Tamandua tetradactyla: one gene and its partners. The protein of the gene in region 4 interacts with the protein of the main gene of each other region in a biochemical or structural test. Links are inferred from orthologs where the notes say so. Each region holds a gene or a part of one and is shown on either strand. Other genes may lie near its edges.

Region 1 (7,246 bases), on a different chromosome or scaffold from region 4:
TGAGAGGAAAAAGAAAGGAAGGGAAGAAAACAGGTAATTTATTCCTTCAGCCAAACACAAATCTCTTGGGCCAGAATGAATACAAGCAAAACTCACTTTTAAGCCAAAGTTCCTTGTAAAAATTTTGCCTAAACAGTCAAGAGGAACAGGCCAGAAATACTTTTGTTTTTGTTTTTCTCTAATACCAAAAGCTCCTTAGTAGTATACATTCATCTTGGTATATTTTAAGACTACCAACTAGGGTTACAAAACTTGGGTTCTAGGTCTAGCTGACTCTTAACTAGTTTTAGGAAAATTATTTAACCTCTTTAGTCTTCTTCTTCCTTTTTTTTTTAAGCAAAGCAAAAACTAAGAGGCTACAATAGGCAAAAAACCTATCTACTAGGTAAGTGCGTCCAATCATAACACACTTTCCCAGAACACTCATGACCAGAACTGCAACAGTCCTTCTGCAGCTACTTCCAGTGAGGGTTGACCCATAAACCAAAATATATTTGCAAATGTGGACTAGATGATCTCTGTAATCTCTCCCAACTCTAAAATTCCAACACCAAGTTTCTGTAGAATGGAAGAAAAACAATTACATTCAATGAAGCTTCGATCAATAGTGTTAATACTCATAAATTTCAGTCCAAATCCTCCTCCAAATTACACCTGACCTTTTCTAATTCTCAAAGATGCTAATGAACAACTCACTCTGATACCATTAACATACACAAGCCAACAATATTACTCTGATTTACTAATGGACTCTTGACAGAAAAGAGTCCTTTACCCAAACTGACCCTAAAAAGTCCCAATCCACAATTAAAGTAGAAATACTACTGTACCAGTGAAGAACCAAATTCAATCCCTCAATCATCCCCAAAGCCTCTCTCCAAGGTCAGGCTTTGTCACCTCTCATCTGAACTTCTCCAATAGCCCCTCTTCATTCTTTCACTCTTATCACCAGAACCTTTCTAAAACACACATATTCATATCACTTCCCTGCCTAAAAATCTGTATCTATTAAAAATTCAAATTTTTAGCATTATGCTTAGAACTTTTCATATACTTGCCTTGTTTCACCTTTCTGGCCTCTGCATTTACAGATAGGATTAATGTTTTTTTCTCTTTCCCCATTTGTCACATTCCTATTTAACACTTTAGACCCAACTTCAGGTCCAGGGACAGGTACTGCTCCTTCTCTGACCAACCCCCAGGTGTAACTGGCCACTTCCTCTTGACCTTTCTCAGAACTTTTTGGGCTATGTGTCCATGGTATTGTTTATATTAGTGATTCCCAAGACCATCAGAATTACAAAGCCATGTTTTAAAAACATGCCTTGGGGACCAACAGAGACCTACTAAATTAATTTCAGGAGGTAAGACCCTGGAATTTCTATATTTAAAAAGCAACCCTAGTTATTCTAATGGTTAAATTTAGAGACCACTGGCTTCTTCTGAAATCTTCCAAAAGGTGTAAAGATGTGTTTTGAAAAAGAATGTAGAAAAATGACTCATTCTAGAACATGCTGAAAAAGTATTCTACACTTGCTTTTTATTTCATACTATATTCTGGTTGATTTCCTTTATATAGTGAAGGTGAAACTCAAAAAGTTTGCATTCGCTATTCAAGAAGGCTGAATTTCCACCTTCATTTCTAGATCTCAAAAATGAAATAACTGTACCTTGAGAAAACGTGTGATTACACAGTGCAGGTTCTCACTACATCTGCCATGAGAACTTTATTTCAGCTGTGAAACAAGTCCCTGGCCAATTTTGAGAGTGGAAATAAATTTGCCTTTATATACTTTATTAAGATGGAATTATATTAGAGATAGATTTAGTGCAACTATAGTGCTTCACAAATTTTCAAAGAAAAATCCTACCATTCCTTCCCCAACCCCTCCCCCAAAAACTATACTGCAGCTGTAGAATAACGACAGAAAATGTAACAAGATTAAGAAACGAATATAACCAAGAGAACAAGATAAACTGTCACTGGAGAACAGTGAATTCCGGGGAGTTTGCAAGTTCACCTGGTCAGAGAGATGACTAACTTTAGGCCCAAAGTCTACATCGGTACACAGACCCTGTGTGTCTCCACGTCGCGGGCCAAACTAAGTCTGAAAACTTGAATCCCCCATTTAAATTCATGTCAACATGTTTCAAACACTTAGACATCGTTCACGGCTACTTTTTTCTTTACTCTGCTACAGAAAAGGGCACACTACGGAGGGAGAACGGTGACAGCTTCACGTCTGCAAACTTGGCGCAGAAAGGCGCGGGCCGGGGTCCCAGCGGTGGCGGGTGCGGGCGAGGGCGCCCGGGCCAGGACCACCACGCGGGGGGACAATGGAAGGAGGAGGAGAATACAGGAAGGGAGGGAAGAGAGCCGCTGTGCTGGGCCCCCTCGCGACTGGGGGCTACAAAAAGTCTTGGGCAAGCCAGCCAGGGAGTAGGTGGGTCCAGAAACCGCCCCTCACAGAGGCCACGTCGCTCACAGCCGCCCGGGTCCGCGTGTAGGCCGGGTCACCCGCGAGTGGCCCCCGGGCGGGGCAGAGGAGCGCGGTGCCGGACCCTGCCCGAACCCACTGCTGCCCAGCTCCCTCACAACTTGGCGCCCGCGAGGAGAGGGGCTCCAGGTGCCTTAGCCTCGCACTGGCCGCCCGGCCCGACCAGTCGACCGCCCCCTCCACCCCACCCCCAGCCTCGGGTCACTAACCCGAGTTCCCCGCGCCCCCCACGGGCACTGACTCTAAGGGAAGAAGGAGCAGCCGCGACTCTGGGGTCACGGCTCGCGCGCCGCACCCCTCTACCTCTCGATCTTCCCGGACACTCTCACCCGGTTCTCCCCTCTCCCTGGAACCGCCCCCGGTCCGCCCGCGGGTGTTTACCGGGACTCGGGGCGGCGGCGACTCCTCAGTCGCTCGACTAAGATGGCAGCCGGTCCCGAGCCCCAACTACAGCGACTAGAACGAGTTGGCAGCCAACGCGCAGGCGCCTCAGCTCGGGAGCTGTCCGGACTACAAGCCCCAGCAGGCCTTGCTCACTCGTCCGCCTCCGGCCCTGAAGTGCGGGCGGGGGCTAGTATGCGCCCTAAAGCCGAGTTCCGTCCCCGCAGGTGGGAGGGCTCTGGTTCCCAAACTCTATTTGTGCATCATAATCACCTGAAGGGTTTGTTAAACCATAGATTGCTGGGCTCCATCCCTAGAGTTTCTGATTCAGTAGGTCTAGAGTGGGGTCTGATAATTTGCATTTCGAGCAAGTTCTCCGGTGATGCTACCAGTAGGTAGGAGATCACACTTTGAGAATCGTTGGACTGCAACTTAGTCCTTTGCTGTGGAGTTATACTGATTGGGTTAAAATCCCCCTTTCTCCACCTCTTAACAGGATGATCTAAGGGATGATGATAGTAGCTTACAGTTAAATGGCCACAGGTATTCTAGAGTACTCATCACTAAACTCCTTTAATCCTCAATACAAACCTATGAGGGAAGAATTGTTACTGTCTCCATTTTACGGCTGCATAAACCAGGTCACAAGCGAGATAAGAATTTAGGCGATCTGACTTCGGAGCCCATCCTCTTAGCCTTCCTTCAGGGGTTGTCGTTGACACAAGCTGTGCCAGTAAGACCTGGGAAGTAGGGACTAAATGGTCAGTAATTAGTGACTTTTGCTACTATTGTTTAGCCTGTTTGCACCTAATGAAAATAATATTTAACCATCGAAAAAGCCACTTAAACATTTTTCAGAGAACTTCAAATCCACCGTGTCAGAGTTTCTCACAATAGTTTCAGCAGAGCTAGAGAAAAATATTACTTCCTGGCCGCCTAATTCAGTCACATTCTCTACGATACTGATTCTCAAAAGTTTGCTGTGCATGGGAATCACTGGAGGATTTGCTAAAATATAGAAGGCTGGGCCCCACTCTCAAAGTTTCTGATTCAGTTGGTCTGAAGTGGGACCGGAGAATCTGTATTTTTAACCAGGACCCATACTTTGAGAACCACTGCACTAAGGCAGTGTTCTCAACCTTTTTTCGTTACCATCCCCCTAAGGAGCCTTTTTAAACTTTTTTGCCTACTGGCTCCCCTGAAATTTTAATACCACAGATATACCATATATGTTTATTACTGTTTGTGGACCTGTGCTCTATACATTAAAAAGTAAGATTTTTTTTCCCCTGTCCTCTCCTTTTTCCAAACAATTTTTGTATACTCTAGGGGAAGCCACATTTCCTGACTAGTGCCCCAGATGATACTTGTCACCAAACAAGTTTGAGAAATATAGTGACTCTTTAAGATATGAGTTACTTGTATGGTCATTCTTCAGAGAAGGAAACAGAGTCCCAAGGAAATTAAATGATAATCCAAAATCACTCAGCCAGAAACTAGGGATCCAACCAAGTCCTCTAGCTCCAGATTTTGTTTTCTACAATTTTTAAAAATTTTATAAATGTTAGGCAAAACTAATATATGATAGTTTACTGGAATCCTTTAAAAGAGGAAGCATTTTGGAGAGAGCTAGCAAGCCATAGGAGAGCACAAGAACCAAGAGAGCCCAGGCAGCCAGAGACCTTTGGAGGATGAAGAAGGAAAACTGAGGGAGTTTTATCAAACAAGAAGCCTGAAGAGAAAGTTAGCAGATGTCGCCATGTTCGCCATGTGCCTTTCCATTTGACCCTGAAATTCATCAGCCTTTGTTGAGTGACGGTAACCTCTTGTTGATACCTTCATTTGGACATTTTTATAGACTTGCTTTAATTTAGACTTTTTCACAGCCTTAGGACTGTAAACTTGCAACTTACTAAATTCCCCTTTAAAAAAGCCAAAAAAAAACCCAACAAAAAACTAATATATGGCATTAGAAGTCAGAATAGTGGTTGCCCTTTGAGGGGAGGTAGCACCTGTGTAACCAGAGCTTTGCCAACACCAGAGCTGAGCTCCATTCCAGGCTCGGTGTCTTGCCCCAAGAAAGAATTCAAGGATGAGAGAAATAATTCAAGGATGAGAAAGCAAGTAACAGTAAGCATTGAAATTTACTGAAAAGTTAGTACACGCTAGAGAAATTTGTGCAGATGTGCTCAAGGAAGAGGCATGCTCCGGGTGGCATGGTTTCATAGGGAGGTTTTGCTAGCAGCAATTTTCCATTTTGACCTTTGAGTGCCAGTTGTCTTCCATGTTTCAGGAGGAGATAACTATTGGTGCTTGTGACCTCCTACTAAAAGTTCATTTTGAGCACACTGTTTAACAATCTTTATGACCTCAGACTTTCTGTTATTAACTAAGAGTCCATTTTGGACCTGTGATTTAATAAGCTTTATGGTTTTGGGGGATTTCTGAGCTTTGGAGGAAATTCTTGTTCTAGGGAGTTTGCAGTTGTGCATTAACTCCTTTGGCACTGGGTACAAAACTAGGGACCACAGCCTCAATGCCCTATTCTGTCCTGCCTCACCTGGATAGAGGCACAAAGGGGCTTCTAGTATCGATAATAATGTTCTGTGTCTGAGTGCTGGTTCTCAGGTGTGTCAGCTTTGTGAAAATTCATTTTAGAGGATACTTACAATTTGTGCATTTTTTTGCATTTATATTATATGTCAATATAAGTTTACTAAAAACAAATATATGTTTGATATTTACACTCATATTATTCTAAAAATATATCTCTTTCGACTACATGCCAAAGAACCTCAAACTTTAGGGTGCATTAGAATCACCTGAAGGGAATGTTAAAACTCAGAATGCAGGGTGTGTCACCCCAGAATTTCTGAGTCAGGAAGTCTGGGGCCAGCCCAGAGAATTCACCTTTCTAACAAGTTCTCAGGTCATACTGATACCCAGGATCACACTTTGAGAGCCATACTAGACTATGCTGTACTAACCTTGCTAACCCCAACAGGACAAATTAGTTATGACCTGGTAGGTAGTACCTAAACCAGCAAGAGTTAAAAATTTGGGCTTTGGAGTCACATGGATCAAGAATCTAGTGCTGCCTGTGTCAACAACTTGCTGTGGGCTTTTAGTTAAGTCACCTGAACCCCAGTGTCCAGATTTCTAAAATAAGAATAGATCCTACCTGCTAGGATGTTGTGAAGATTCTATGAGATCAAGGGTAAGGAGTTGGTAGCTCTCTAAGGAGGAGCTGAGTTGGTGAAGACAAGGATCCCAGCCTAAATGCCTCATCTCCCATGCAATGTATCTTTAGCTTCCAGGTTCTGAGATAAAGAAAAAAAACAGCTCAGTTTTGTCCTGGTCAGAATATAGGGCTAGTGGCTGATAAAGCCTCCAGGTAACTTTTCCCTCTTTCTGCCTTGGACACCCTGCCAGCAAAGGACAGAGCCCCGACACGCCAGCACAGGGGTAGGCTTGTAGAAGCATGCCAACATGTAGGCAAGGAGCTTTCCAGTCTTCTCAGGCAATGGGAAGGGAAAGTACCAGGGATACAGAGCCAGAAGGAGTGGGGACAGAAACCCCAGCAGCCCACATACCACCTGTCACTTAGTGGCTTTCCCTACAGAACACTTACTCATGCTGCTGTCCTTCTATTCCCTGGAGCAGCTCTGCTTTTTTTATTCTTATTTTTTTTAACTTTTCATTTTGAAATAATTTCAAACTTACAAGACAGTTACAAAAATAATACAAACTCCATACAAAGAATTCCAACATACCCTCCCCACCCAGATACCCAGATCCACCAATTTTAACATGCTGTCACATTGGCCGTATTATTCTAACTATCAATCAGTCTATCAATTCATCTATCTATCCATTTGTCTGTCTGTTGATCAATCCATTTTCTGAACACTTCAGTGTAGGTTGTATATATATCATGCTCCTTAAACACTCAATACTGTCATGTACATTTCTTAAGGACAGAGATATTCACTTAGTATTCACCCTAAGTGCAGTTATCAAGCTCAAGAAATTTAACACTGATATAAATCTCACAGTCTATATCCCTATTTTTTCATATGTCCCAACAAATATCCTTTTGGGTCTCCTCTCCTCCACTGCTACACCCCATCCAGGATCATGTGTTAACTTTAACTGTGCAAGTGCTCTCCTTCAGGCCTTATCCATTCAAAGAGTTCAGAGAATATCTCCAGACCAAGGTATAGGGGTCACCCTGATCTTTTCTATGCATGCTGATCCTGCCTGTCTTGTCTTGGGTATGCATGTGTGGCCTAAGAATGCTCTCATTTACAAAATTCCCAATGTCCCCTCTCCCCTAGGAAATAGTTTTCTCCTGGTCTCAGGCACTG
Region 2 (7,435 bases), on a different chromosome or scaffold from region 4:
CCACCCCTAGGCTGGCTGGTGAGGGTCCCCAGAGCCCCCGCTTCCCAGGAAACTCAATGCTCACAGCACAGCTTCTCTCTTAGAAAGTTTATTGATTCGGGGGGCCAGGGAGGCAGGCCTGTTTCCCCGGAGGGCCCCGCCGCCCTCACTGCTTCCTGTTGCCATTGATGGGGCGGTTCGCATGCTCGGGGGAGGCCAGGAAAGCCTTGAGCTTGGGCCGCGCGCTCAGGCGGGCCACGTAGGCTGAGAGCAGGGGGAAGCCATCCAGGCAGCCGGGGGCTAGCACCTGGTGGATCTGCAGGAGTTCCAGGAGGTTGTAGTCAGCGAAGGAGATCTGCAGGGCAGGGGGGTGGGGGTGGGGGGCTCAGCCGTCGGCACAGAGCAGGGGGTGCCCAGAGCTGGAGCGCTGGCTCGGCCTCTGCTCCGCTGAACAAGCCCTGGCCCCGCTGTGGGCCTCAGTTTACCCTTTCGGGGAAATGGGCGGAGAACGGGCTGGGGGGGGGCTGGGTCGAGCGCTCACCTGGTCGCCCACGATGAAGGCCTGGCCACCCCGGTTCTGGGCCAGCAGGGTCTCGAAAGGCTTCAGGTGCCCGGGCAGCTCCCGCACATAGTCCTCCTTGCCCGCCTCCTGCCAAAAAGATGCCACCGTGCAGCCTCCTCCTCCCAGTCCTGGCTCTGCCCCTCCAACACCCCCTCTGTGGGCCCCATCTCGGAGGACGGCACCGGGAGGTCTGGGCTCCGACTCCCAGGCCATTTCCAAATCCCAAACATTTAGGCTGCAAATTCTTCTCCTCTTCAGGCTGCCTTTCCACTCCTGCTATGACATCTCACCAGATTATAGCAAAAGTCTTGGGGTCCCCCAAAGGGTCGTTTCAGACCTCACGTTTGGACACTGCCCTGCTTAGATCCTCAGGGGTCCCCCACTGTCCTCAGCAGCAGGTTCCACCCGCTGGCTCAAGGCCCTTGTGACCTGGGCCTGCTGGCCCCCAGCTCCAGCTCCTGGAACAACTCCACCCAGACACACACGAGCACACACACTCACCTACACGTGCTCACATGCAAACACTTTCATATATGCACACTTCCACACATGCATGCACACTCACCCACACATGCTCACGCACATTTGTATGTGCATACATTCACACACGCACTCCCAATCACATGTCCACATGTCCACACACAGACACTTGCACTTGTGCACACACCTTCACAATGCCCACACGCACATACTGCACACACGCACACAGCCACACTCATGCACTCACAAATACACCTTCACAGCACACACATGTATAACACTTGCACACATGTACACATTCACACATGTGCATGCACACACACACACACACACTCTAGGTCTCTACTAAACTGGCCTCAGGTCTCAAAATGTGCTCTGCATTTTTGCACACTTCAATGCATCTGAAAGTGGCAGGCAGCCCTCCCCACCTCCGCCCCATAAAAGCTCAGCAGCCACCTGTCGCTGGATGTGCCCGTCCGTGTACCATTCTGTACTACCCATTCCTTGTCTGTGTCCCATCCCTGGGAACTGAGCCCAGGGACATGGGCCGAGGGACTGAGGGTCCAGGGAGCCCTGGCGTCGCCCCGCGGGGCCCACCCCCAGCCTGCTCACGTAGTTGGTGTAGATGAGGCGGACGTATTTACAGCGGAGGTCCTCCACGCCGTCGTTCGCCACGTCCACCAGGGCGGCCTCCCGCTGGTCCTTCCCATAGAGCCCTGGGCGGTGGGGGAAGGTGGGCAGCACGTCTGGGCACCTGGCCCACAAGGGACCCCCCCACCCCCAGCTGGACCACTGACAGCCCAGGGCCTGGGAGGACAGCAGGAGAACGTGGACAAACGACGGCTGAGGTTGAGCCTGATGCACAGCTTGCGCCAGTGGGACTGGCACTGAGTAAGGGTGGCAAGCAGAGCTGGCCTTGACCTTGGGCAAGTTGTGACCCCCTTCCCTCAACTGCAGAGAGTGGGTGGCATGCACTCCACAGGGGCTGGGCACCTTGATTTCAGCTGGAAGTAGCTCAGGCTGCTGGGCCTGAGTGGGTGCTGGGGGAACTCTGGCCCTTGTGTCCCTGCCCCCCTGCCCTGAGCTGGGTCCCCGCCGCCACAGGACTCACCGAGCGAACGGCCCAGGTGCCGCAGGATGGCATTGGACTGGTACAGGGTGAGGTCTCCGTCCTGGAACTTGGGGAGCTGCCCGTACAGCTGGGGGTGGCACAGCTCGGTGAGGGGCGCTGAGCTCAGCCACCCCTCCCCACCCACCCACCCAGAGCCCAGTCCTCTCCCCCACCCCAGGTGCGGGCACTCACACAGGAGGCCTTGAGGTCACCCTGCAGCCAGGTCTCCTTGGTCACCACTTCTTCCTTCCAGCTCTGGCCCTGGTCTGCCAGCAGCATGCGCATGGCCTCGCAGCGCCCTGGGGTGGGGGCATGGGGCGGAGATGGGGAATGAGAATGGGGTGGGGACAGGATGGTCACCGCAGAGTGCATGCAGGGCTAAGGCTGCTGCTCTGGCCTTAGGGAGCCTGCACACAGGGACTGGGGAAGGCGGCCTGGACTTGTTCACAAGCAGGAGGGAAAAGCTGGGGTTCCAGACTCCCCATGGTGGGTGAGGGGTCCCAGACTGCAGCCCCACCCCCTGCCACCCTCCCTCCAGGCACAGGCCCCTACCTTGAACCGGGAAGTAGACAATGGTATAGGGTGGCACTAGGACGGACAGAGAGACTGCGTTAGAGCTTGGAAAGAAGTGGGGGGGGGGGAAGGACACCCGCCTGCTTCCCTGGGCCCCTAGGGGGTCCCGGCCCGGCGCGGGAGGGGCCCCGGGACCCGGCCTGACGCTGAGGGACCCGGACCCCGGAGGTCCCGCGCCGCGCGGTGACTCACTGGTGCAGACGCGAGCTCGTGCGGCGGCGGCGGCGGCGGCGGAACTCGGGCCTCAGGCCCCGCGGTCCCCGAGCCTAATTGGGGTGGCCCGCCCCTAGGCCCGCCCCCAGGGCGGAGTCACCGCGCCGCGCGAAGCCTGCTTGAGCCGCCGGGGCGCAGGCTTTGGGCAGGGCACGCGCACGCTCGTCCCGCCGGGGCCACCGCGCACGCCCCGACTCCGCACGTTCGCCCCTCCAGAGGCACCCCGGATGCTCCGCCAGGGGCACCCCGGACGCCCGGGCCTCGCAGACGGCACCCCGGCCGCCCCCACCGTCGCACCGGCGCAACCACCTCTCCCCGCGCTGCCGCGCCCGACCTTCTCCCCGCGAGGGTTTGCTAAGCACCCATGGAGGGGTGCGCGGGACTCGCGTTGGGGCTTGGTGCTGGGTGCTGGACACCCGGACCTCACATAGCTTTGGCTCTCGCCGGGTGCAGCCCCTTTTTCCGCTTGGGGTGCACAGCTCTTGCGCCCAAAACCTTGCACCTGTGCCTTGTTCCCAGAGACTCCGATGGGCGCTGCCCAGAGGCCCCCACCCACCCGCCCTGTACACAGACACACATGCGCCTAAACTCTTACTGGAAGTTGTATTTTTTTAATCAACAGCAACCATTTGTATGTCACCTTCCAGATTGTTCCAGGGGCCACATACCCCTGGTGCTATTTACTTCTCATCTTTCTCTAAATTGCCACACTTTTTCCACTCACAGAAGCTTATTTTAAAGGGGAGCTTCGTTTCACACATGAAGGTAGCTGTAAAAATAACAACCAGAACAAAATCAGTTTTTAAATCTGGTTGGTCGGTGCACTAAGAACTGCCCTCTATTTTGTTTATTTATTTATTTATGTTGGCATGGGCAGGCCCGGGAAATTGGACCCGTGTCTGGGCTGTGGCAGGGGGGAATCTGCCACTGAGCCACTGTTGCACCGCTCTGCCCTCTATTTTTTAAAGCGTGTTAGCAAGGGTTGGAGAGGCATTTCTGATGCAACAGCACCAAACCGAGAGGTGTTTCCTGGTGTCCCAGGGTTGAAGGGTGCCGCTTTGCCCCAGGTCACACCCTGTCCTTTGGGATCCCCCCATGCCCTGTCCCCCACGCCATGATGGAGAGGAGAGGGAACAGGCCTTAGCAACAGTTCCTAAAGACGCCTGGGAGGAGCTGGTGGAGAAGGCCAAGGCTGCAGGGGGTCCCCTGGCAGGTGGGTGTGGCCTCCGCCCGGGCAGGGCCTGGGGCAAGTTCTCCAGACACATCTAGGTGGAAGCTTCTGGACTTGGTGGCTGTGGAAAGGCTGCTTTCCTGCAGGGGCAGCACATTCTTTCTTTTTTTGCACAGTCCCAGAGCAGTGATTCTTTAGGGGCAGGAAGAAGCCTGAAACACACACACACACACACCGCCAATATATCAGGTAATTAAATATGTGGACAGTGAGACTGTCATTTTCTTGTTGCCCCCTGAAGTTGGTGATGGGTGTCCTTGGTGAAGGGCAGGCCTGGGGAGACGGGGTTGGGGGAGGCCGACACAATAGGTCCAGCGACCCGACCTGGCTCAAAGCACCCCAAAAGGCAGCACGGGCGCTGCTCCCCACCTCTGCCACCTGGTGGGGGGCCGGGCATGGCATGGTGGGGTGGCACCCACTAGGGCTGACTCAGCCAGAGGTGGCAGCTGCAGAGACAGGTGCTGTTGGGGACAGGCAGGTGTAGTCCAGCCCTCCCAGGGGCTGGGCCAAGTTGCCCTGGGCCCTAGAGCATGCAATGGATTCCAGCTCCAGGGGACCTGGCTCTCTTGAGTGTCTCTGACTTTGCCACACGTATTCCCTCAGGTCCTGCCAGTGCACAACTTCTGTTCTCTTCCTTTTCTTCCAGAAGAGCTTCATTTGCTCCTTTGGCTTGTGCTAAAAGCAGTTGGAACCTGCCCTCCCGGTGCCTTTCATCCCTGATTATCAATGCGCTGCAAAAAAAGGCAAAGAAAAATAAAGCAAGGAAACAGTCGTACTTTCATGTCAAAACAGATTGAGCCGTTCTCTTTCTGCTGCATTTTCTCCTATAGCACGGCACCCTCCCGCACCTTTTCAAAGATAAAACAGACACCCGCACGCGCACACACAATCATACGGACTCACACAACCCGTTCACACTTTGACACAGACTCTCATGGTCACAGACACTCAGGCTACCACGCCTCAGGCCCGGTGCCAGTCCCACACCTCTATTCCGTTCTCACCACTCCGACCCTGGGGAGTAAAAATTAGCCTACCTCCACCTCCCCCTTTGCACCGGAGTGTATGAGAAATCCTGTTCTGCAGGAGAAAATGTGGCAGAAAGGAACCATAAATTACTTCCATGGCTCATTGACATTTGTCCCGTCCTTCTCTCTTCCACCAGGCCAGTCCTGGCCTCCTCCTGTGTGCGCTGGACTTTGAGGGGAACAGGGAGGAAGGAGGGGGTGGGGGTGGCTACAGGGTCCTCTCTTATTGGTATGTACTTGTTTGTGTGTCCCCTTTGTCCTCTCTCCCGTCTCCCATGCCCTTCCCATCTTCCGCTCCGTCCCTCCCAGCGCCTCCCACCCTAATGGACTGTATATCCGTGAGCCTGTCCCCTTAAGAGCCTGCGGGCAAGGAAGTTCTGGACACAGGCCCAGAAGCAGAGCTGCGGCCTCCCAGGTATGTGAACACTTGATTTGCATGAGTAAAGTCAGCTGCTTCCAGAATGGCCCTGCCAGCGGGCCCTACCCCCACCTGCCCCAGCTGACCAGAAACCACATCCAACAAGGGACTTAGCAGCCTCCCAAAGCCTGCCTGCCCAATAGATGGAAAGTGGTGTGACAGTTTTGAGCATCTTTTCAGGTATTACCTGGATTTTATTTTCCTTCTCTAGAAATAGCCTGTTCTTATCTGTGGTAGTTTGGAGCTGTTATGTACCCCTCCATCCCCCCCCCCCCCACCTCCAGCAAAAGGCCAGGGTCTTTTTTTTTCACTCTAAATTTATTTTATTTTATTTATTTTTTATTTTTTTATGAATTTTTCATTTTTTTCAAATACCAAAAAACACCAAACAAATGCAAACATTCTTAACTTTTGATCATTCCGTTCTACATATATAATCAGTAATTCACAATATCATCACATAGTTGCATATTCATCATCATGATCATTTCTTGGAACATTTGCATCTATTCAGAAAAAGAAATAAAAAGAAAACAGAAAAAAATTCATACATACCATACCCCCCACCCTTCCCGCTCACCGATCACCAGCATTTCACTCTAAATTTATTTTAACATTTGTTCCCCCTATTATTCATCTTTATTCCATATGTTTTACTCATCTGTTGATAAGGTAGATAAAGGGAGCATCAGACACAAGGTTTTCACAGTCACACAGTCACATTGTGAAAGCTCTATCATTATACAATCATCTTCAAGAAACATGGCTACTGGAACACAGCTCTACATTTTCAGGCAGTTCCCTCCAGCCTCTCCACTACATCTTGGCTAACAAGGTGATATTTATTTAATGCGTAAGAATAACCTCCAGGATAACCTGTCGACTCTGTTTGGAATCTCTCAGCCATTGACACTTTGTCTCATTTCACTCTTCCCCCTTTTGGTTGAGGTTTTCTCAATCCCTTGATGCTGAGTCTCAGCTCATTCTAGGATTTCTGTCCCACATTGCCAGAGAGGTCCACACCCCTGGGAGTCATGTCCCACGTAGACAGGGGGAGGACGGTGAGTTTGCTTGTTGTGTTGGCTGGAGAGAGAGGCCACATCTGAGCAACAGAAGAGGTTCTCCTGGGGGTGACCCTTAAAGCCAGGGTCTTTTAATCCATTCTTGTGGGTGCAGGCCTATTGTGGGTGAGCCCTTTTGATTAGGTTGTTTCAATTGAGCTGTGACCCAGCCCATTGAAGGTAGGTCTTAATTCTTTACTGGAGTCCTTTATGAGGGGATAAAAGACAGAAAAGCTGAGAGAGAGAAACACCCAGGGAGCACTGGAACCAGAAGCTAAAAGCAAATCAGATCTCAGAGCAAAGCACCAGCAGATGCCTGCTGTGTGCCTTCCCAGGTGACAGAGGTGTCCCAGATGCCAGCAGCCTTTCCTCAGAGAAGGTATTGTCTTGTGATGTTTTAATTTGGACATTTTCAGAGCCTTAGAATTGTAACTTGTAACCTAATAAATCCCCTTTGTAAAAGTCAAACCTTTTGGTATTTGCGTTCAGGCAGCTTTAGCAAATTGAAACATTGTCTTTTTCTGTTGAGTTTGTTGCCTCCTTCCTCTTCATCATTAGCTTTAGACATGCAGATTCCATCTACTATCCTGCCAACTCCCTTAACTTTGTCCAAGTCAAGTCCCCTTTCCTTGAACAGAACGCCTTAATTTTAGTGAAATCAAACTCATTAGCTTTTAATTTTTGTTCAGGGTGGGGTAGGAACTTATGGTTTGAGTTTTTGAAACTTTTTTTTAAAGTCTTTTATTACTGCTCCAAATCTCAACAATATTCTCCTACAT
Region 3 (7,480 bases), on a different chromosome or scaffold from region 4:
TAACACATCTCCCCACAAAAGGACAGAATCGACATTCCTTGATCTTGCATTCAAGAACTTTTATAAATAGGCCCTTTTCCTCCCCTACTTATATTCCTGACCTACCAAGATTTTGTTCATGCTATATTCCCATACCACCACACCCCAAATTCTTTACACCCATCAAAATTCCACCCATTATATGGGACCCAATTCCTATCACCCCTTTTACCAAGAAGAGTTCCTTGACAATTCCAGCACTCATAACTTGTCTTCTCAAGACCTATAGCTCTTAGTCAAGTACTGTCCAGCAGAACTATCTGGATAACAGAAATGTTCTACATCTGTACTAAATGTTCTCTTATATATAATGGGTATATTATTGCTAGCACTTCTTTTATGACACGTTACCCTGGATGGTTAAACCATTTATAAAGTTTTCCTAGCAGACTGAAAGTTCTGTGAACAAGATACATTTTATTCTTCACCAGCAACTTTCACAAAGTTACAAACAGTAAATTTTTTTTTTACTTATTTGTACACCACCTCTTAGGAAACCATGAGCTGAGATGTCTGGAAGGATGGTCACCATCGCTAACCCATCTTCACATCTGAATGTGAAGGGCTGAGGAGGAAACAAAAAGAGAATACCTTCCTGGAGACACCAGATACTAATGCTCAAGACACAAAGCACTCTGGTTTAGGTGGCATTTAGGTCATGATTGTCCTTCATTTACAAACTTTCCTAAGTAAATACCTCTTTTCATTAGCCAAATAGCGAAATTCTTACGTAAATTATCCCTACTAAATTTAAACATAGCAGTTAGACAGAAAAATAACCTAAGCAAGTCCTATTAAGTACTTCTTTTTTCACCTGTTCATGAATCAATCTCTGTCTTCCGTTAAGTCATATAGCCTGCTAGAGGTATTTCACTGTTCAGATATATGTCAAAATTTCACTGGCACTTTTCCCAAGCAAGGCCTACACTCTCTCTAAATCAAGGCTTTATAAGTAAGCATTACTTACCTGTGTAAGAACACAAAATGTACAGGCAATAGTACTTTCACCACTATGGCACTCTGCTCCCTTGGAGCAAGTGTCTTCTTCCTTTGGCCTCAATTTCCTTATTTCCAAAATGGGTAAATATTAATATAAACTACCTACCTCACAAGCCCTTTGTAGGTCAAGTCATAACTGTGGGTATTTCTAACAGGTTCTTCTTCCCAAAAGAACTATATTTAAAAACAAAAGATCCCTGACTTTGCTAACAGTTCTTTGAGGTGGGTCTGCTAACAAATATAGAGACTAAGATTAACCCTCTGACATTTAAAGCAATTTTTTCTTCGTTATTCCAGACTTCTTTCCCCCACCTCACTGTGCAAATGTCTGAACAAAAATTCTGCTAGTACTCCAGTCTGGCACATGTAATAAGGAAATAAACGTGTTGACTCAAGGAACACAGACATATTTAACAAAAAAAAATAGAAATATGGCTGAATCGAGTCCTAATGCAATCTAAACCCACATATACAAGATCAAGATAAGTTACTATTTTGATTTATTCAAATCAATGCTTATTAGTGCAGCCAGCCAAAAAGTTACAAACTAGGCACATAGTAAGTGTACCATTGACACACACACAATAAAGATCAGCAGGCACACACCATATACATTTTTTAATAAATAAAGCAACTAACCACTGATCGTGTCGACATATAGACACCCACTTGATATGAGTGCTGTATACTAAGCAAGGAAAAAGCAACTTGAATGATATAATTTTGCTAACTGAAGCACAACCCCAAACGCAGGTAAAGTTTGCACACATGACTTTGCCAAGGCCAGCCAGCCTGTCTTTGTTTCCCTCTCTTCTGCATTTACCCAAGATCTTGGCTCTGGGACAGAAAACTCCCACTCTCGATTGGTTCATTCTGTCCTATGCAATTAAGCAACACCACAATCCAGTAAGTGAAATGGCTCAATTATTTATCTTCTGACCGTGTTTATCAGGTATTCATAAAAGAACAATGTCAAGGAGGAAAGAGATTTATTCTTCTCTAGAGCTGGCTTGACTGGGGCTTTAGTTTGTTTTGTTTTTAGAAAAGGAGTGGGGGATGGGGAAAGCAAGCCTTGAACTACAACAAGATGTGAGGAAATTTAGAAAGCACAAGTCTGTCAATTTCCCTACAGGAAACTTGATTCTTATGCAACAATCCTACCCACAACCAACCAGCCCGTGGGGCTTTAGGATTAAGACACCTATTTCTCCCCCCAGAGAAGCAGAGCTGGCTCCTAAAGGAGCAGGAACCCGGCCAGGCTGAGAAATGGCTCTGCCGGGAGCCGCCGGATCCCTGCCCGCGGCGCGCGGGAGGAGGCTCTTCCCACGCGCCCCCCTACAGTGATCTCGCCCGCCTGACAGTCGCTCCTGAGGCCCGCACGTCTCCAGAGCCCCAGGGAGCAGGAAGTCGGAGAGCTGTCCCTCACGCCTGCCACCCCCGTCCCAGGGGGCCCTCGCCCCCATGGTCCACCCCTCGAACTCATTCTCACTTTTCCGCGGCTTCTCCCCTTTCTCTTGGAACGAAACTTCCTTCCAGCGCCCCTTCTGCCTTCAGAGGCCCGCTCCTGTCGGCCCTGGGAGGTGTCCCTTCAGAATGATCGAGCGCGCCCTCGTATCTCCCCGCCCCACTGAAGTTTCCATTCACACCCCCCTCCCTGAAAGACCCTCCCAGCGGCTTCCACCCTCTCTGGCGCCCGCCACGGTGCGTCAGGCCTGGGGGCCGTCCGGAGAGGCTGCCCCACCCTTCACCCCCTTCACCTGTCTCCCCGGTAGAGGCCCCACAGGCAAGGGCTGCGCTTGGGCCGGCGTGCGGGCACGGGGCTCCCTCAAGCCGCAGCGCCTCAGTTAGCACCGGCGGAGAGAGCGCGCCGAGTGGGGGTGCTGGTCAAAGATCCGGTTCGGGTTCAGGGCCTCCACTGAGACGTCGGAACCCCAAGCTCCCCCTCCCGGGTCTGCGCCGCAGCTCCGGAAACGGATGAATTACAGCCCCTCCAGCCAATCCCGCCCAGCCCCAGCCTGGCCTAGACACGCCTTTATGCATAATTCAAGAGATGGCCAGCTTTCTGGGCCACAGGAGGCCCCGCGGCTTGCCCTGTGCACGCGAAGCCACACCCACTGACCAATGAGAACAGCCGCTGGGGGGAAGGGCGGTGGCAAAAGAGGACTGGGGACGCCCCTGCGTTGGCTGTTCCGGAAGGCGTCGTGCTCCTCCCTCCGCAACGGCCCGGGAAGAGCTGAGGCCTTCGGCCCAGAAACCGGCAGGGAGGGAGGGAAGATGACCGGAATGTCCTGCTGAAAACTCAGCTGAGTTCCTGGCAGTGTGTGACGTCAAGACACTTTAAATGCCCCTGATGCGGCTCTCGCCTGCCGGCTCGCTCTTTTCCTGGCCCGTGGCGCCACGTGGGAGGAGGTTGGGAACCTTTTACCATGTGGGAATCAGCCAGTTAGACAGTCCCCACGTATAGCCAGATCCTCAGGGCTCCCAATTCCTGAATTGGATTTCTGGCGACAGCAAAAAGAACATGGGTATCTCCTGCCTGTTTTGAACTCAAGTTCTGTGTAAGTCGGGACACACACACCCGGAAACATGACATGGAAATAGAGTAATTGTTAGAGTGCGTGGGGAGACAGTAGTGAATTTAACCCTGTCCTCCGTTCCATCGCTTCAAGAATCAAACACCAACAGCTCGCCCGTTGGCGGGTACACGAGAATGCTGAAGATAATATATATGAAGGTTGACACGTATTTGACACAGTATTTGACATTTTGGGGCATCTGAGTTGAAATACCTTAACTTGCCAGCTTTTTCCCTTCACCTCATCTACTTTATATGCAGGTTTTACTGAATTGAAGCCAGTAGTCAATAGGAAGTGTAGATATTTTGCTTTACGTGATGTAGGATGAACTTTGCATAAGGGAGTGATTTCTTTGTTTTATTTGGCTGATACTATCAGGGCTTTTAAAAAATAAGTTATTGGTATTTCTGTTTGTTTAATGCAAACAGGTGTAAAGACGATATCTAAAAAGTCATCCTAACACCCAGATAACCCCTAATAATAGGTTTTCAAATGAAACTAATACAGGTTCTTGGTTAGAAAATTCAGAAAGGTCGAAAGTGAAAAATGAAAATTTATTCCTCCCCTTTCCCTCACCAGTTACCCCAGGATGACTGTTCTCATTAATTTCTGATGAGAAAATGAATGAGTCTTAACCTTTGAGGGGTAGGAGTCACAGACCCTTCAGAGAGTCGGAGTGGCATCTGGATTCTAACTCCAGAAAAATACAGCAAGAGCTTTTACTCACAAATTCACATGGTTCCCTGGCTACCTGAAGCCCCTCAGAATACTCTAGATTCAGACATATCCAAATAGCAGGTGAAAGCATCTGTAGGACAACTGATAGGGTCATTAGTGACAGGATTGAGAGTCTCCCACTGCTCTCCTGTACACCCAATCCAGTAAAGAAATTTCTGTACTTATCTGTATGGTGTGAGTGTGTGTGTGTGCATTTGTGTTGATTGCTCTGTTTATCTTATCTCCAGACCAGGACAGACATCTCCCACCTTCTACCTCAGCTAACTTCTGCTTTAGCTTTGCTGTTCCATGCAGTTGACTCCCTCTCTAATAACATAGTGCCTTTGTTTAGTGGTTTACTGCTAACAAAGCCCTTTCACACCCGTTATCTATTTTCTTTCTCACAACAATCATGTTTGACAAATAAGAGAGGTCATATTATTCACTGATAGGAAACTAAGGCCAAGATAGCTGACATCCTCAAGATCCCAGTGATTGATACTCAGAAGTAAACCAGTGGGTTTACAGCCACATTTTTGGACTCTGAATAGCTTAGCTTTGCTCCAGCCACTCAAAACCTGCCTTTCTCCCTAAGGGCTTTGTTTCCCTCACCAGCCCCACCTCACACACAAAATCTGCCCCTGAGCAGACTATCCACCTGACCTACAAAACCTCTCTCCAGTCCTGCCGCTGGCCTTTCTCCATACCTACTCAGAAGCACCCTTGGTTAAAGCAGATGGTTTCTGTCACTTGGGACAGTGCTGTGGCCCCCCGGAATATTCTCTCCTCACTCCAACCTTGTCCTTCGCCTGGCTGAGGTGGATGATGAAGGACATTATCCTAATAAATAAATAAATAAATAAATATCCAGTTGTGTTATGACCTGCTGAAAAATCTGTTTCCTATTACCTATAGGATAAAATCCCACCAAAATGAGAAATACTGAGCATCTAACAGAGCTGGGTATATGGTAGGAATTCAATTGTTCTTCTTTCCCTTTCTTAGTTTGACTCACAAAATCCTAAAAAGTCTCGCCTAGTCCCCTCCCCTGTTTTTAATTTGATTAGGCAAATCATTAAAAAAAAGTTGTGGTGGTGGTAATATATATACAAAATAACATTTTCTCTTTTAACCACACATTCAGATATATGTCAGTAGTGTTAAATCACAATGTTGCGCTACCATCACCACCGTCCCATACTAAAACTTGTCCATCACCGCAGACGGAAACTCCATACCCATTAAACATTAACATTCATTCTTCACCCCCACCTCCACCCCGGTACACTGTAATCTAGTTTCTCTCTCTATGAATTTGCATATTCTAATTATTTCATTTAAAGGAGACCCTAAAATATTTGTCCTTTTGTGTCTGGATACCACTCAACATGATGTCTTCAAGGTTCCTCCATGTTGTTGCATGTACCAGCACCTCATTTCTTTTTTATGGCTGAATAATACTCCATTGTAATATGTATATATCACATTTTGTTTCTCCCTCCATCTGTGGATGGACAGTTGGGTTGCTTCCATCTTTTTGACTATTGTACATAAAGCTTCTATGAACCTTAGTGAACAGATCTCTGTCTGATTCCTTGTTTTCCATTATTTTGGGTACGTACTTAGAAGAGGGATTGTTGGGTCATGTGGTCATTCTCTGTTTAACTTTTTTTTTTCTTTTTGGCTTTAGACAACAGAAATTTATTCTCTCGCAGTTCAGAAGGCCAGAAGGCCAAAATCAAGGTGTCAGCAAGATTGGTTCTTTATGGAGGCTCTGAGAGAAAATCAGTTCCATGCCTCTCTCCTCGCTTTTGGTGGTTGCCAGCAATTCCTGGTGTTTATGTTGAACTTTTTAAGAACTGCCAAACTGTTTTCTACAGCAGTAACACCATTTCACACTCCCACCCATAATGCACAAGTGTTCCTATTTCTCCACATCCTTGCCAGCGCTTGTTATTTTCCTTTTTTTAAGTAGTAGCCATTTGAGTATGGCCTAACCCCCATTTTCCAGTCTCTTCTCCTCTATCCCACGTACCCTATGCCCCCACGCTGGGCTTACTACCTTCCTCCAAACATGTCAGCACTTTCTACAACTCCACGCCTTTGCAGGTATTATTCCCTCTTCCTGAAAGACCTCCCCATCCTTGTTTCCTTCCCGAAGAACTCTTACCCTTCAAGGCCCCATTCCAACATTACCTCCTCTGGGCTTTCTTAGATTCTTCCTTGAAAATTTAAAATCTTGTTCTGCTGGACTTCCTCAGCGGGTTATTGCCACATCTAGCAAGCCATTTATCTTCTTGGACTGTAATGTATCCATTTATCAACCTACTTCCTGGTAAACAAAATTAATAATTAACATTTCGGAGTAATTAGTATGTTCCAGGAACTATGCTAATATAGTTCCTATAATATATATGCTAATATTATACAGCTAAGCTGTATAATGTTCCTTTTCATAAGCCCAGCTCCTAGCAGCCAGCTCAAAGCTCGCCCAATTCTGAATTAATTACATATTAATAAATATGTGTTGAATAATCATATCAGCAATAGCTACCACTTACAGAATGTTAACCAGGTACTAGCCACTGCTCTCAGCTTGTATTTACTCATGTGACACGTGTATTAATTTATTTAATCCTTTTGTCCTTACAGTAACTATAAGATACTATAATTTTATGGACAAGTAAAAACGAGGCTTACCCAAATTCAAGTGATTTACACAAGAACATAGATATGGTAAGTGGCAGAAACAGGATTCAAATCCAAATATGCCTCATTCAAGAGCCTGAATAGCTGTTCTTCCTGGACTTTATCTCTAGACCTCATGATCCTCTACGAGCCCCAAGGAAGGGACTAAAGGAGGAAAAAAGGTGGAGATACACACCCCTCCACTCACCAAGGGAACTAAGGCAGAATGTAGAAGCCCACTGAGTTTATGGTGATTTTAAAACATGTCTACAAATTATTTGACACTTCTCCCGCCAATAGGTAGAATCTAATTCCCCTCCCCTGGTGACTCACTTCTAACAAATAAATTGCAGTGGAAGAGATGCTGCCTGCCTTCTGAAGCTAGGTCATAGAAGGTGGTACAGTTTTGATCTGACCTTTGCTCTTGAGACACTTACCCTGAGAACCCCACCACCATGTCA
Region 4 (7,542 bases):
ATGAATCAGAAAGGCAGCCATTCATATCCCTGGCTTGTCCAGAAACCTCTAGAGACCTAATATCTTGATAGCCAGATATTATTTTATACTTCTACATTTGCAACAAAACATCCCAACTATCTAGATGACTCAAATATGTCAAAACTCAACTCAATGGCAAAGCAGACTATTAAAAATCAGGCTTCTATTCGGTAACCTCTTAATTACTACTAGGATAATCTGTGACTAGTCATTTGACAACAAATTACTTCAAGATGTTTCACTAAGCATCCAGCATCCTCACAAGGTCATTACCAAAATATTAGGCACTGAGTAAGTAATTAAGATTCTTATTAATTAACTTCATTAATTTAAGGAGAATTTATTCTGACATTAATTTCTGCCCAAATGACATTTTCCCCCACAATATAGAGACATATGAGGACATAATCTTCCTACTGCACCAGGATGCTCCTTTCAAATTCCTCAATGCAAAATACCTATCTACAGAATCACTGCTGTCTCTTCCTCTAAAATAGGACTCAGAGAAGAGTGAAGAGGGAGTTTAGTTAATGGTTATGGGTTTTCTTCTTGGGGTAATGAAAATGCTCTGGAATTAGACAGTGAGGGTCTACACACATCTTTGTAAACATACTAAAAACCACTAAATTGCACATGTAGAGTAAACTTTATGATACGTGAATTGCATCACAACAAAGCTATCTAAATATAACGTAGAATTTAGAACAAAACAAAAATCTTGGTTCTCATGTAACCTGACTGTGATGATTTTTATCAGTAACCCTTATCGCAAACGGACATATTTTATCTAGGTAAAATAATAAATATCTGGTATAACTTTTATCTTAATAGAGTATCATTTTCTAATTTATTCAATTCTATTCTACATCAAATAAAAAATAAGCCCACCTCAAATTCTTTCATATCCAAAACAAATCCTAAAATTTATCAAATAGTGGGAAAGAGATATAACTTGGATAAAATACTATTTTGATCTTAAGCCCACGTTTCATCAGTGTTAATATGAGAGTTTAAAAACATTTCTCATAAACCTCTCTAAAATTCTATTTGAAATTAAACATTTCTAATACATTTCTGCGACTTGTTTCTTTGTTCTAGCTTTTCCACTTAAAATAAAGGAGTCACCAAAAGCCTTTTCAAAAATATTAACAAAGGGATGCGTTGCAATCGTAGGTTATTACTAAAATATCACAGGCATATACACACACTAACCTTACAACTTACCTTACCTCATTAAAAAACATTTTAGAGAAAGTTTTAGGATAGTGAATGACCCAAAAGTGATAGTAAAAAACTGATACTGAGGTGATTCAAAAGACCCAACTGTCATGACAGATACAGAGGAACTGATCCTTTAGCCATCTGGAAATGACGGTTTGCATGACGCTTCCAGAACTTTATGGGGAACATCAAAACTGTTTTTAAGGCTTGCTTTTAATTTCATCAATTATAAGAAGCTTTTCATCAACCTGCCTTTTTGAGCACTTACTTTACAGGCTAGGTGCTGGAAACCCAAATGCAAGACAGGCCTACCCTCAAGGAAGTCCCATTTTGATTGCTTGCATTTGTGAGGTACTGCACTGAACTTGTTCATTACATCATGACTTTCTAGGCTTAAATGACAGCAGGAGATTCTGAGGTAATCACTACAAAAGAGGCTTTACAAGAGCAGAAAAAGTAAAATTTAGAAATACCTGTAGACCAAATGTAGCACTAGCTCCTAGAATATCATTACTTTCACAGTTCCAGACGAACTATTTCAAAAACACGAAAATAAACTACAGTAGGACTCCTTACCTTCTTTTACACACATCAGGTACGTAACACATGACTTACATAATTGTGTAATTTAAAGGTATTCATATTATATTTCTATCAAAGCACACTCTTCTATTAAAGGACATTTCTCTTTACCTTTCAGTCTCTCCACCTGTGTACAGAACAGCTGTTGAATGAATGAGTGAAATAAACAGATGTTCTAATTGCCAAGGAGGTACTTGCTGGATGCTTATTTTAAAACACAATGGACTGACACTACAATTCTACTCGAAAGATCACTGAGTTTGAGAGGTAAAAATAGTAAGCCCTGGACAATGTCTGATACGAGGCAGTCAACATGTCATTACATTTACAGTGAAGACCTAACAGGAGACTCTTGGAAATTAAAATGAAAAAGTGTTTCTCCTAGTACTTTAAAACGCACTTGGTTGTATGGATTGAGGACGTGAGTGCAGGACAAAGACACGGGAGGATGGGGTGAAAAAGTCAAAAGGTCACCACGGACTGACCCTCAAGAGGAAGATCCAGCCCAGCTCAATGAAGCCACCTCCCGCCCAAGCTACAGGCCCCGGGCTGGAGGCCACACTGGCCCTTTCCGACGAGGCTGTCCGCGCTCGCCTGCAAACGTGAGCACAAAGAAACCACCGAGGAACAGAGCACGGTCCCCGTGGGCCTCGGAACCCGGGAGGCAGCGGGGACGCCTCGGTTTCGACCTCCCCCCGGGCGTTCCTGAACTTGCCCCCGCCCCTCGGCAACCTCCCGACGTGGAAGCGGGACACGCGCGAGAGGGACGGCGGGCGGCGCAGCTCGGCTCGACCCACCGGGACCGGCTCCAGGTGGCCCGCAGCCCCGCGCGGCCCCCGCTTGCCGGGCAGCTATTGTTCCCGCGCCGGCCCACCCCCACCCCGCGCGCTCCCGCCCCCACTCCCGGGAGGGGGTCACTGCTGAGGCGAAGGCGGCGACGGCGGCGGCACAATAACATAAACACGGCGGGGCCGCCCCGTCGCCCGGGCCCTGCGGCGCGCGCGGCACTCACCCGGCAGCGGAGAGAACGAAGGGGAGGAAGTCAGCCGGCGGGCACCCTCGCGTCCAGACGCTGCCACGGCCGTTACCCAGCACTGCTCGCGGCTCCGCACCCCGGGCCGCGTCGTCCGGTCTCCGCCGCTCCGCTGAGTAACAGGGACGCGGGCCGTCACGGCGCACGCCCGTCTACGTCATCGCGCAGACTCCGCCTCCCGCGCCTACGGAGCGGCCCGCGGGGTGGACGCGGCCCCAAGGCCCGGATTGCGGAGGCGGGGCCGGCAGCAGGGGGCGGGGCTATGCCGGGAGGAAGGAGGCTATGCGGAGGTCGCCTGGGGGCGGAGCTGGGGGGGCCAGGGGCCCCGCGTGCCAAGCGGCTGAGGGGCGTGGCGGGCGCGGGAGGGGCGGGGTCTGTGCCGGGCACGTGGCGGCGCGTGGCTTGGGCCCCCGCCTGCGGGCAGTTCCTCCGCCCTGGACTAGGAGGTTAGGAGCCTTGGCCCGACCCGCCCCTCAGAGGTCACCTCCCGCCTGCTGCACATCTGAGAGGCAAAGAGCTCCTCACTTAGACACATCGCACGTTCCACTCCGAGGGCACCTACCCGGGACCTGCAACCCTCAAGCAAATAACTGTTTTCTTCAGGCTCCCGGAAAGAGCCTCCTCCTGTTTTCCCCAAATCCACTTCCTCCCAGAATCCGTACCTTACCTGTTTATCTCTGAGGCCCTAAAAAGCACGGTAAATATTTTGCAAATGGTCACTGGAAGTGCTAGACAAGCCCTTAAATATCCGACAATAGACAGTAGGTGGAAAGGTATTTAAGTACGTCCATGCAATGAAATGAATACATTTTAGCCATTTAAAACCCACGTGTGCAAGGAATTCTTACAGCTATGGGAAAATGTTCACAATGTAACATTAAGAGAAAGAAGATACAAGCGTGCGTGTGTGTGCATACATATACATAAAATGATCCCCCTTATGAACTATATGCATAGGAAAAAAAACTGGAAGAGAAATATTCAAAAATATTTTAGAAGCAGTTCATCATTGGATATGGAATGAAAGGTGGTTTGTTTCTCCTTTATACATTAGGTGTTTTCCATGGTTTCCAAGAAATAAATGAGCTACTTTACTACTGAATACGTAAATATTTGTTGAGTAAATGAGTGGATGCAGCTAGACTACTTTCCCATAACGTGTTGGGCTGAGCTGTGCCCAGTGATTCTGAAGGGAAACATGAGTGTAACCATTCCTTCCTTCCTTCATTCTCTCCTGGGGCTCTCCCTCCCTCTTAGCCTTCTTTACTCCCTTCTGTCCTTCATTTCTCCAATAAATATTTATTGCATGCCCACACTGTGCCAGACACTGCACTAACGCTGGAAAATTTAATCGCTGTAATGTGGAAATAATAACAGTAAATGCAAAGTTATCACCATATTATATACAAATTGATATGGAAGCATAGTATTATGAAACCAATTAATAAAATTAACAAGGCCAGGAGAGGTTTCCCTGAGGAACTGCCAACCAAGTGGAGAATACAATTAATGAGGCACAGATTTCAGACAGAGGCAACTTGGTGTGCAAAAGCCCAGTGAGGTCAGGTAGCTGGGTGAATTGGGGAAACTGAGGAAAGGCCCGTGTTGCTGGAACACAGAGAGAAGGAAGATGGGGCTATGGGGCAAAGCCATATTTGGTAAAGCGCCATACCAAGTACAGTCATACTGGCCACGTCGACACCTCGTCTAAGCCCTGGTGTGCTTCAGCAGTGGGTGGCTTCTTTAAAAGATCCTTTATTGGAAGGAGGCCAGGTGTATGTAGGAGTCGTCTAGATAGCAGAGGATGGAGGCTTAGACTAGGGCTATGGGCTGCTAAGATAGTGAAAGGTGACGGATCCAAGTACCATTTAGGATATTTAATGCCCAGGACGTGGTGATGGATTAGATGAGGCAGGGAAGGAGAGAGAGTCATCAAGGACAAGTCACAGTTTTCTGGCTTATGACAAAGTTTGTGCATTAGGGCTGGTTCACTGAGGTAGGGAAGCTTGTGTTTTAGTTTCTTGGAGTCACCATCACGAAGCACTACAATCTGGGTGGCTTGAAACAGCAGAAATTTATTCTCTGCCGGTTCTGGAGGCTGGAAGTCTGAAATCAAGGTCTCAGCAGGGCCACGCTCCCTCCAAAGTCTACAGGGAAGAACCTTTTCCATGCCTTTCTCTAGATTTCTGGTGGCAGCCAGCAAATTTTGGGGAGGGTGGGAGGGAGGGGGGGAGGGTCCTTGGCTATGGCAAAATTCTATCTCTGCCTCACTTATTACAGGACCTTCTCCCCTCTATTTGTCTGTCTCCTTTCCCCTTCCTATAAAGACATCAATAATATTGGATTAAGGCCTACCCTGCTTCAGTATGACCTTCTTTTAACTTGCCCAATTTCATCTGTAACTATCCTATTTCCAAATAAAGTCATATTCGGAGGCACCGGAGTTTAGGATGTCAGCATACCTTCTGGGGGTGGCGTGGGGGCAGGGGACACACTACTACCGGGTTTGGATAGAAACCCGGTTTCATTTGAGGCCTTTGAGATGCCCAAAGGAGAGAGGCCTAGTTGGCATTTCGATATCCAGAGCCTGGGCTCAGCTAGGTAAGAGATGAGTTGTCCACAGATAGCCACCACACAAAGCCATGGGTATGGATGCGTGAGCTGGAAGAAAGAGGACAAGTGAGCAAGAAGAGAAGAGGTGGAGCTGCCAGGGAGCTAGAAGGGAAACTTGGAGAGAGGGGAGCTAAAGAAGAAAGACGCGATCCATAATATCAAATACCAAATGTAAGAGGAGCCTTGGAAATCTGGAGGAATGGGGCCAGAACTGGATTCGAGGGGGTTGAGAGATGAGTGGGAGGTGAGAAAATGGAGACTGTGGGTACGGATGAGCTCAGCAGTGAAGGGAAGGGGAGATGGCATATTTTTAAATCCGACGGGAACATGCTGTTGAGCGGGGGGAATCTGAATGACAAGCAAGAGAAGGGGTAAGCATCAGCCTGGGGCCCCCAGGAGGGCAGGAGGGGATGTGACTGGGTGCAAGGATGGAGGTATTGGCAGGTACATCACCAGACAAGTTGAAGACCTGGGCCTAGCAAAAGGCAATTTGACCCCCGAGCGGTTGAATCAGAACAGAAGTTCCGAGTTCCGTGCCCAGTTCTGTAAAGCTCTTAGCCTCTGCTCCTCTCAACAGGGAGAGCTTTGGATTTAGCAGCAGCCTCCCACTGTCAGCTTCCAATAGTCTATGCCTAGAAAGCACCTCCCACATGTTTGTGTGTTCGTGTATGTGTGTGTGTGTGTGTGTGTGTGTGTGACTTCAGAAAGCCCTTTGCTACTTGTCTTTGAATATAATCTCTGCAAATTCAAAATGCTTTATATAACCCAGATGTGGACCAGGGCCTCCCTCTTCTTTCTCATGGCACTTGTCCTTGTTAACTTATTAGGGTTCCTTGTGAACCGATTGGGGGCTGGCTCTACAAAACAGGATGAGTTAAGGAATTCAGGCCTATTGCCTCTTATGCCAGGGGAGTTGTCTTGGCCACAGCTCATCCTCAGATCTCCCTGAGGCTGGGATAGAGGGAGGAGAGAAGGGGAGACTGTGGGGTCCTTACACCCAGCCTCTGCTGAAGCTCCTGAGGGATGGCCAGTCTTCCCAGACTACCTGGATTATAATGCAGCTGGTCCTTTTGGCTAAGCTGTCAGGGTTATCTCCCCGAGCAGTTCAGGCGACAGAAGACCGAAATTGAGGCTTTCTCTCACGTGCTCCCTCCCTGACCTGCCTCCAGGGCTGGAGGGCGGAGGGACTTACTGACTTCAGAAGGACACCCCAGAGGATGCATCCCCTCTCCAGATCCTACCCCCAGCCCCCAGCCCCATTCTCCTTTAGCTTTTTCTGGCTGTCCCGCTTCCTGCCTGCTTTCCCACCCTCAACCCAGTCCTGGCCCCTTCTCCCCCCACTGGAGGAAGAGATTCTGTACCTCGGTCAGTCACCCCCTGGGTCTTTCAGCTTTGACCCCTCTGCGAGGCTCTGCAACGCTCTTTCAAGGCAGGCATGGCTGGTTTCTGATGGGGGTGGACAGCCCCTGGCAGCCTAATCAAAAGATGATCATTCTGATTGCAGATTGTTCTCTCCACTGGCCAGAACTGTGGCAGATGGGTGTACTCAGGGATAAGACAGACGAAAATGACGGGAGCTCCTCTGCCACAACCCGGGTGAAACAAGGTGGAGGAGAAAGTCATGGGGCCGGTCACGGGGGCTCAGTGGCAGTGTTTCCTGCCTGCCGTGCCAGAGACCCGGGTTTGATTCCCAGTGCCTGCCCATGCAAAAAAAAAAAAAAAGGTCATGGTGGTCTGATTCGACGTGACAGGTGGCACCCCCTCTTTGCCTGGCCCCCTTCTTCCCTTTCTCTCACCCCCATAGGCACAAGTTACTTCACATGTGAGCAAGAGAGAGTGACAGTCAACTAGCTAAACCTGTAGGTTGAGTTACATAAGTTCTCTTGACAAAACCATCAACGTTTGGTCCTCTAGGACAGTTGTCAGAGTGGTCTTCAGACCTGCAATGCCATCAACACCTGGGACCTTGTTGAAGATGCAAATTCGCAGACCCACCCGGACCTACAGCATCAGAAACCCAGAGGGGGATATTGCAAGTGCCCTCCAAGCATTGTTGATGCTGCTCAGAGCTG

The links.
Region 1: of the proteins of MAPK8 (region 4) and ITCH, one has a biochemical effect on the other in vitro, tested with the Homo sapiens proteins (2 studies listed by BioGRID). The link is inferred for Tamandua tetradactyla from reciprocal best matches to the Homo sapiens genes MAPK8 and ITCH.
Region 2: the proteins of MAPK8 (region 4) and GSTP1 form a complex in vitro, tested with the Homo sapiens proteins (2 studies listed by BioGRID). The link is inferred for Tamandua tetradactyla from reciprocal best matches to the Homo sapiens genes MAPK8 and GSTP1.
Region 3: of the proteins of MAPK8 (region 4) and STAT3, one has a biochemical effect on the other in vitro, tested with the Homo sapiens proteins (2 studies listed by BioGRID). The link is inferred for Tamandua tetradactyla from reciprocal best matches to the Homo sapiens genes MAPK8 and STAT3.

What each region holds. Positions count from the first base shown.
Region 1 is NC_135327.1:18,487,561-18,494,806, forward strand, and holds the start of ITCH (E3 ubiquitin-protein ligase Itchy homolog), read right to left. Parts: upstream 3,002-7,246; 5' UTR 2,880-3,001; exon of another isoform or gene 2,828-2,879; intron 1-2,827. UniProt on the Homo sapiens protein: Acts as an Acts as an E3 ubiquitin-protein ligase which accepts ubiquitin from an E2 ubiquitin-conjugating enzyme in the form of a thioester and then directly transfers the ubiquitin to targeted substrates.
Region 2 is NC_135335.1:6,798,781-6,806,215, forward strand, and holds GSTP1 (glutathione S-transferase P), read right to left. Parts: upstream 3,004-7,435; 5' UTR 2,899-3,003; coding exon 2,898-2,898; intron 2,721-2,897; coding exon 2,685-2,720; intron 2,432-2,684; coding exon 2,325-2,431; intron 2,221-2,324; coding exon 2,133-2,220; intron 1,738-2,132; coding exon 1,634-1,737; intron 629-1,633; coding exon 521-628; intron 335-520; coding exon 146-334; 3' UTR 73-145; downstream 1-72. UniProt on the Homo sapiens protein: Conjugation of reduced glutathione to a wide number of exogenous and endogenous hydrophobic electrophiles. Involved in the formation of glutathione conjugates of both prostaglandin A2 (PGA2) and prostaglandin J2 (PGJ2).
Region 3 is NC_135332.1:24,834,851-24,842,330, reverse strand, and holds the start of STAT3 (signal transducer and activator of transcription 3), read right to left. Parts: upstream 3,012-7,480; 5' UTR 2,796-3,011; intron 2,680-2,795; exon of another isoform or gene 2,528-2,679; intron 1-2,527. UniProt on the Homo sapiens protein: Signal transducer and transcription activator that mediates cellular responses to interleukins, KITLG/SCF, LEP and other growth factors. Once activated, recruits coactivators, such as NCOA1 or MED1, to the promoter region of the target gene.
Region 4 is NC_135339.1:7,464,702-7,472,243, forward strand, and holds the start of MAPK8 (mitogen-activated protein kinase 8), read right to left. Parts: upstream 3,001-7,542; 5' UTR 2,837-3,000; intron 1-2,836. UniProt on the Homo sapiens protein: Serine/threonine-protein kinase involved in various processes such as cell proliferation, differentiation, migration, transformation and programmed cell death.